Struthio camelus: one gene and its partner. The protein of the gene in region 1 interacts with the protein of each later gene in a biochemical or structural test. Links are inferred from orthologs where the notes say so. Each region holds a gene or a part of one and is shown on either strand. Other genes may lie near its edges. The genes, in order: CSRP3 and MYOG.

What was found.
Region 2: the proteins of CSRP3 (region 1) and MYOG form a complex in vitro, tested with the Homo sapiens proteins (2 studies listed by BioGRID and IntAct, with this or other methods). The link is inferred for Struthio camelus from reciprocal best matches to the Homo sapiens genes CSRP3 and MYOG.

Annotation. Positions count from the first base shown.
Region 1 is NC_090946.1:32,068,832-32,072,749, reverse strand, and holds the start of CSRP3 (cysteine and glycine-rich protein 3), read right to left. Parts: upstream 2,945-3,918; 5' UTR 2,774-2,944; intron 1-2,773. UniProt on the Homo sapiens protein: Positive regulator of myogenesis. Acts as a cofactor for myogenic bHLH transcription factors such as MYOD1, and probably MYOG and MYF6.
Region 2 is NC_090965.1:3,753,803-3,757,720, reverse strand, and holds the start of MYOG (myogenin), read left to right. Parts: upstream 1-905; 5' UTR 906-956; coding exon 957-1,436; intron 1,437-3,848; coding exon 3,849-3,918. UniProt on the Homo sapiens protein: Acts as a transcriptional activator that promotes transcription of muscle-specific target genes and plays a role in muscle differentiation, cell cycle exit and muscle atrophy.

The DNA of each region.
Region 1 (3,918 bases):
AAATGGGAAGTGGGTGCAGTACTGGCTTTATGTGGTTTCATAGAGTGGTTTTAAAAGAGATAAACATAGTGCTAGGTAGTGCAATGCTGGTGAAAAAGTTGTTAAAAAAATGCTGGTGTTTTTTTTCCTAAACACTAGTTTTTTCATTCTAAATGCTTATGTGTTTGATGGTCTAGAACTCAAGTCGTATGTATAGAAAATGCAGAAATCACTTATTGTTTGGCTGGAAAGGGTATCTCAGAGCACCAAATGTAGTATACGATGACTTTCAAGTGGATAAGCAGAATGGGAAATGTAGGTCTTTATGGTCACTGAATCCTGTGATGGTAGAAATGCTGAACCAGAAGGACTTGGATAAGATGTGCTTTGCATCTCTATTTTTAGTCCTAGCTGACTGTTCAGTCTATAGTCTGTTAAAAGCATGAGAAGATTGTTTCCTTTTGTAATAAGCAATAGTATCAAATTAAATGACTGTCACTATTGAAATGGGAGTTTTGAGACTAGAAATTAGAAATTGTGGCCCCAGTTGAAGTCTGTGGGAGATGTCAATGCAGTCAGGATTTTATTCCTGATATCTAATCACAGCTCTACTGCTGACCTGTCATGTGACTCTCTGACTCGTTCAACCTTCCTTAGTCTTACTCCTTCACCAGCACCCCAGGGATAACACTACATAGCTTCCTTTACAGAGAACTTTCAATAGCTTTAATGGAAGAAATAGAGTGGTATCTGGCTGTGTAAACATAGGTATCTTGCACCATATTCAACATTGTCAGGTATCCTGCCTTATCCTCAGCTGTCACTCCAGAGAGCCTGGATCTCCCATAGGTCTTGCCTTATATTTGGTGGTGCCAGGCAAGTGTCTTGAGATTCAATTGCCCTTGCTGTTATTTTTGATGCCCTAGAATATTTGCCTATAGTGTCTTTTGAAGAAGATTAATACTTCCAGATGTTTCTAGGTTATTTAATGTTTTTTTCCTGTCAGTTTTAGTGTAAAGTGTGGTATTCCTCATTGGCAAAAGCTGTGTTTGACTTAAAAATAATTTTAACACACTCCAATTCTGTTTTAAAGTATCAATTAAATACTGCTATGGTTTCTTTCTCTTTCTCACTATGTCACGTTTAATTTTGATGTTTCTGCAGTGCAAAGCATAGTTCCTGTCACTGCATCTCAAAAAGCCTGAAGGTGTTTTGGTCGAAATCTAATCCATTGCAGAAAGCATCATTTCTCAGCAGAATAGTTATACAATAGAGAAAATGATTGCATTTGAAGAGTGAGCTCATTTATACAACATGGTTATGTATTTATAGTGATATTTCTTATGGTCATATACATTTAGTGGGCTATGGATACAAATACAAGTTTGGGTTTATGAATTAGTCAGTGTATTACTTTTATCCTCATGCCGCATAGCAATTTTTTTCTATATTTCTGCAGTAAACCAGCACATAGGGGTCAAGAGACAGGATTTTCCACAATGACACAGAAAAATAAATACTGATTTTGACTGACACTGGTTATGTTAAGTTACACTAGTCCTTTCGAAACAGAAGATTTTAAGTGTCTTGATAAGAAGCAAGTGAGGGGCAAAGCTGACAGGAGAACTCAGTGCTGCCTCTGAATCTTTTGCTTTTGTCACTATGTATCCTTCCCACTACTGTCTTATTTTCTGGCATGGTAATGACGCATTTCTATTAAAACTTCTTTGGTGAACACCTTTGCAGAAATTTAAGATGACGTTTCCAAAAGATGTGATACGCTGACACTAGAACCAGATACTTAGTTCTGACTTTAAAAAAGCACCCTTCCCTCAAACACAAAGTTCAGTTTTCTTCACAAGGCTGTGGGAAACTACATCCTGCTGTCCAAATGATCTGTTTCTTTCCTCAGACCTTATCCTGTGCTATCAACTTCAGCTTTTCCTTCCACAATATCTTTCTTTACACCCTTATCCTTGTCTTAAGTCCTCTAGTCCCAAACAAAACTCTTATGGACTTTGAAATATTGCCGGGATGATTGAGATCAGACTCAGAATTCTTTTAAGTACGTGCAAGGCTTCATTCTTTGCATTCTTTGAAACAGTTTTATCTTTAGACAGAAAACTTTTTGAAGCAGATAATTATTTTTTTTTAGCTATTTTTTTTCCTAAAGACTTGGCCAGTCATGCTACCTTTTAACGCTTGAGTGATGAGCATGTGAATTCTGTCATCTTGCATTTTTATTTGTGATTTTTCTGTTGGAGGTGGAGGTTATGTAGAAATGTCCTTCTGGTTTAATATAAAACCAATTAGACATTAAATATTTAGTGACTTTTTTGTTTCAGAATGCTTTGACTCTCTTACTGAGAACTTCTGAAAGCATATAACTTTGTATACTTTAGCAAGCTCGTATATTAAGATAGAGTATCTGTGGAAGAAGTCATTCTTCAGCTTTGTAACAAAATTTCTAAACACTTCCACAATTTCTATGCTATCCAGTCTTGCATGTGGTAAAAATGCCTGTCTCAGAGATGAGACCCTCCACAGCCCCGTTCTTGTAACACTAATAGCTACCGTAAAGGCCTAGAAGCCCAGAAGAATCTTTCTTTTCAGTTAGCTACTGCAAACCTAAAATACTGCTGTCAGCTCTATAGGACTCCCATTTCTGTGCTATACCTGCACATTTTTCTTAGTCAAGCAATAAGCTGTTTCTACTAGCTTTGGGGGGGAAAAAATAAAAAAACCCAAATCCGTATATCAAACAGTCTTGCAGAACCCCATGTACTACACTTACCAGAGCAGGCTGATGTTTCTTCCTATTTTCTTTGGCCTCTGACAGAGTTTAACTTGAAGCCTTCCTGCACTCTTTAAATGCAGCGGCCACCACTGCTGGCCCTATGAGCTGGGAGGGGAGGGAGCTGGGAGAGGTTGCTTCAGGGATCTGAGCAATGCCATTGCTATCACTGAGCTGAAAATAACATCTGACAGAAGCCTGGCATTTTGTTCCCTTACGTCCACTCGTGAGTAGGTGGACAACAATGCAGCCCCTCCGATTACACCTAAAGGCATTCTTAAAAGCCCTCCAACAGATCAAATAAAGAGTGAAATTTTAGAATTGCGATTAAATTGCTTAAGCATGAATCATAAAATAATGGTTCCTGAAATGAGGATTTAGTAATATATGATGACATCATTGCCAAAAATAATCTAACAAAATAATTATAAAAATAATCAATAACTCATTGTAAGAACCTCTGGGACTCAACAGTCTTAAACCAAATAGAATTTTATTTAGTTAAGTAGTTCATAACTTGATAGCTACAAATGGTTGATATCTGCTAGAAGTCTTAGACTATGGCGACTTATGCTTGTCACTCTAATTTTTAATTTTGTACTTTTTTTAAGCATTAAGACAGGTAGCTAATACGTGTAGAGTTTGGCACGTTTAATCATAGCATCTATAAGCAATTACGAAACCTTGCTGAGCCCCTTGCAAATGCGTGATATTGCAACCATTTTAGAGATGGGCTAAAGTGTAAAGCGCTTAAAGTTCATTTCTTTACAGAGATTATTGTTTGTTTATTTTTAAGTGCTTTAAAGATTGAGGGTAATTCTCATCTTTGGAGGGACTTCTGAATTTAGAAACTTCATTCTTCATGGATTTTGGGAGGAGTGAAAGGGCCAATCACCTAGAACTTAGGGGTTACAAACTGAAGACTGATAGTGAAGGTCTCAACTCTGGGACTTTCATGGGAGTGTAAGGAAATTAGATGCCAAATGTATGTGAAATTTCAGGATTTTAGGGGCCCATTCACTGAGGCTAATTTGAAAATTAAGTCTTAAGAGTCTAACATCTCTTGACTATGGAGTCCAGCAAAGGTTTCTAATGTAAGGTTAGAGGCCTAATTTTTATTGAGCAGAAGAGTCTTGGACCCCATT
Region 2 (3,918 bases), on another chromosome or scaffold:
GAGGCGACCAGGACCAGGCCTGGTTCATCTTCCAAGCTTGGCCAGATAGAGGGTCCTGGGACAAGCAGGAGATGGTGTTCTTTGGTTTTGGTGCCCTCTAAGAGCCCTGGAAGAAAAGGAATTTCATGCCTAAAACGCTGCTCTATGTCTGGGCTATGACTCAGCCAGGGACCTTTGGGAAGACTATGGCAGAGGAAGGATTTGCCCCAAACTCACCACTGAGCCCTCCCGGCTGCTCTCACCTGCCTGCAGTGCCTCTTCCTCCCAGGGACAGAGGGAAAAGCCCAGCCTTGTCGAAGCCTGGGGCAGGAGGGCGGCACGGAGTGGAGCGACACTTTGGGGTGCAGTGAGGCGGATGGGCACGGGGATGGGTGCTGCCTTGCTCGCAGTGCTCGTGGCTGGGCTGCTCGGGGAAGGGGCTGGGACCCCGGAAGCAGGGATCCAGCAGGATCCCATGAGGCTGAGGCTGATGTGGGGCCATCTGCCCCAGGGTGGACTGGAGCCACCCGGGTGCTGCTCTCCCCTAGCCGAGCTGTGCCAGCCCTGGGTAACTGAAAGGACCAGATGATGCAGGAATGCGGGACGGAGCTGGCAGCCCCACGACCACCCGCCATCCACGGCGGCACCCAAAGGGCTCAAACGAAGCCCTTGTTCACAGGGCGGCCGAGTTGCTTTTCCCGACGTGCCAGCTTCCCCGGGCTCCCCCTCCTCCCCGGCACGGCCGCAGCCTGGCCCGGGCAGCGTAATCCCTGCAGGGAGAGCACATGAAATCAGATGGACAAGTTTTGATGTGAGGCAGCAGCTTAGGGCAGGCTCAGGTTTCCTTTAGGTTTTCTATATTTATCTCCGTGATTTAATGCCAGCGCCGGGGTTTAAATGGCACCAACCAGTTGGTGTGAGGAGACGGAGCAGCCATCCCCAAGCCGTGCACACGTCTCCCCGCTGCCTGCCCGTCCATGGAGCTCTTCGAGACCAACCCCTACTTTTTCCCAGACCAAAGGTTTTACGACGGGGAAAACTTCCTGGGCTCCCGCTTGCAGGGCTATGAGCCAGCGGCTTTCCCGGAGCGGGCCGACGTGGCCCTGTGTGCTGAGGGCAGGGTGGGCATGGAGGAGAAGGACTCAGCCCTGCCTGAGCACTGCCCGGGGCAATGCCTGCCCTGGGCCTGCAAGATCTGCAAGCGGAAGACGGTCTCCATAGATCGGCGCCGGGCGGCCACCCTGCGGGAGAAGCGCAGGTTAAAAAAGGTGAACGAGGCCTTTGAGGCCCTGAAACGGAGCACTTTGCTCAACCCCAACCAGCGGCTGCCCAAGGTGGAGATCCTGCGCAGCGCCATCCAGTACATCGAGCGTCTCCAGACCCTGCTCAGCACCCTCAACCAGCAGGAGCGGGAGCAGAGGGACCTGCGCTTCCGCGGCACGGCCACCCAGCCAGGGGTAAGTACCTCTGCTCACCCTGGGGTGCGTGACCCTGGGGTCCCCAGCCTTGGGCTAAGGCCACCACCGGCCTGGGTAGTGGTCCCAGAAAGAGGCACCGCAGCCGGTGCCAGAGCATGGGGACAGGGACCCAGAGGCAGCAGACCCAGCCCTGCCTCTGGTGGGAGCGGGACCTGGACCCTCCAGCCCTCGGGACAGCAGAGCTGAGGTAGACAATGTGACCACAAGCTGGCAGATATGCCCTGCACGAGGCAGCAATGATCCAGCCCAAGCCATGCTCTTGTATCCCCAGTCAAAGCAGATCTATAGCTCTCTTTCCCTATAAACACACATACATATTTATATATGTATGTAGAGTAGGCTGCGTGTCCAGTGCTGGATACTGTACAGAGCGTGGCACATGTGCCCTCACTCACTAGAGCTAATAAAGGTATAAATAAAATAAAATAAAATAAAATACCCTCAATGGCCATTGTGGCGTGTCCCGAGCAGGGGGCAGGGTGAAAGGGTGGGGGGGCTGGAGCGGAGCCACCTGCCGAACACATTTCTTGGACCGAAAATGCCAGTTTGAGAGCCGGATGGGGATGCTTGCAGAGGCCGTGTCTTGCCCTCGGGGCTGTTGGCCCCAAGCAGACACATACTGTAAGCCAGGGCCCTTAAAATCACGAGATTTTGGTGGTTTAACCAGATTTGGGGGAGGGGGGGCATTTTTAATCTACCCTCTGATTCCTGGGGGGGGGAATATGTGGGCATGCTTTTCCCTAATGCCCTAAGGGTGACAAATGGACTTTATAAGAGGCATGGAAAATTGGGATTCCCAGAGATTCATCTGATCCAGTACCAAGGGATTTAAGGGAAAAATAATCGGATATCAGGGTAGCCCAGTACAGTACATTTAGGGGCTGCGTAAAGGCCTGAAAACAGTCTTAGGCATCACTATAAAAAATTCTTAGGACTTCCCAGTATACACCCAAGCTATATATATTCATGTTGATTTGATTCGCTTGGATTTTTCTGCTGTCCCTGCAAACGTATTGATGCAAAGTGCTTGCCTAAAATACGACCCATGCTGAGCAGTTCCTGCGTAACTGCTCCTCCTTGCGGTCTCCTTCTCCAGCTGTGACCTAGGGAGAAACAGATAATTCACGTAATGAGTGTGAAATCCAATATTTTTGGCCAAAACAAAAAAATCATATCTGCATGAATCTCCTATTTTAGTGAGAAACAAACCGAAGTGAAAATCATTTTCTCATCCTGCTGCAGATGGACTTTATTTCACTTTGTTTCCCTACAAAACGGAAAGCCCAACCAGCCACCTAGCCTAATGTTCACGTGCGGTGTGAAATTTCAATTCAGTGCAAAAGCCTTGCAGAGACAAGCTGCGGTCGTTTTTCTCTCTCCACGTCGGCAGTCAAGATACGCTAGCGACCCAAAATTTGGAGGTTTGCCAGCTAGCTCCCCAGCAGTGGGTTACTGTGGACTAGCTCTATCTAGGTGCGATATCTACCTCCATTTTCCTCCCAGAGTTGATGCGGCAGTGATTTTGTATCCCTGCTACAAATGGCAGTGCTTTGGGGTTGCTGCAATGCAAAATTGCATTTCAGGCTCAACGCAGGCCAATAAACATCCACTCTGAGACTGAGAGATGGAGACAAAAAAAGTTAATCCAGCACTTTACTGAGTAACTGTCTCATTTTTTAGGTTGTCACTTCCCAGTGAAACATCCATTTGACCCAAAACCCACAAATCAAAATACCAAAATCAAAATATCTGCTCCCCAGAAATCCCCCTTGTGATCGTCAGAGGAGTTCCAGCCCGTATGACAGCTCTGTTAACCTGATTAGGTGATTTTTTTCAGTAAAAGGCTGTTTTGCCCAAGGACAGGCGTCCATCTCCATCCCTTTCTCCTGGTCATTGCATGAAAAGACACTTTTTCACCTGTAGTGAGCCAACGGCAGCATTTTTCACTCGTTAACCACAGTTCCCAGAACTCCCCAAAAAGTTTCTCAGCCTTTTTGGTTGTTAACCAAGCAAAAAGATGTCCCTTTTCTCCCTTTCTAAGAGCAAACCGCTGCCAGCAGCCTTGAGCCCAAGGTTAATCCCTGCAGGTTGTGCTGGACCGTGGTGCTGGGGGTGCTCGGAGGAAGCAGGCAGGGGCATGGGCTCACCATGCGGGGACCACGCTCGTGCAGGGACAGCCTGTCCCGGCTCCCCCCAGTGCCAGTGGCAGGCTGCAATCGGTTTCAGGGATCCCGAATGCTTTGTCCACTCCTGCCAGCGGCTTTGCGGGGAGGGTGGTGAGAGATGAGTCCATCTCCTCATGGATCTGTGCCAAGTCTAAGAGCAATGGGTGGGCCCCGGGGTGGGGGTAGAGGCAGCGATGCCCGCAGTGAGTATCTTGGACCCTTGCAGGAGGCTGGTGAGTGCGGGTCTGGCAGCTCCTCCTGCAGCCCCGAGTGGAGCACCCAGCTGGAGTTCGGCA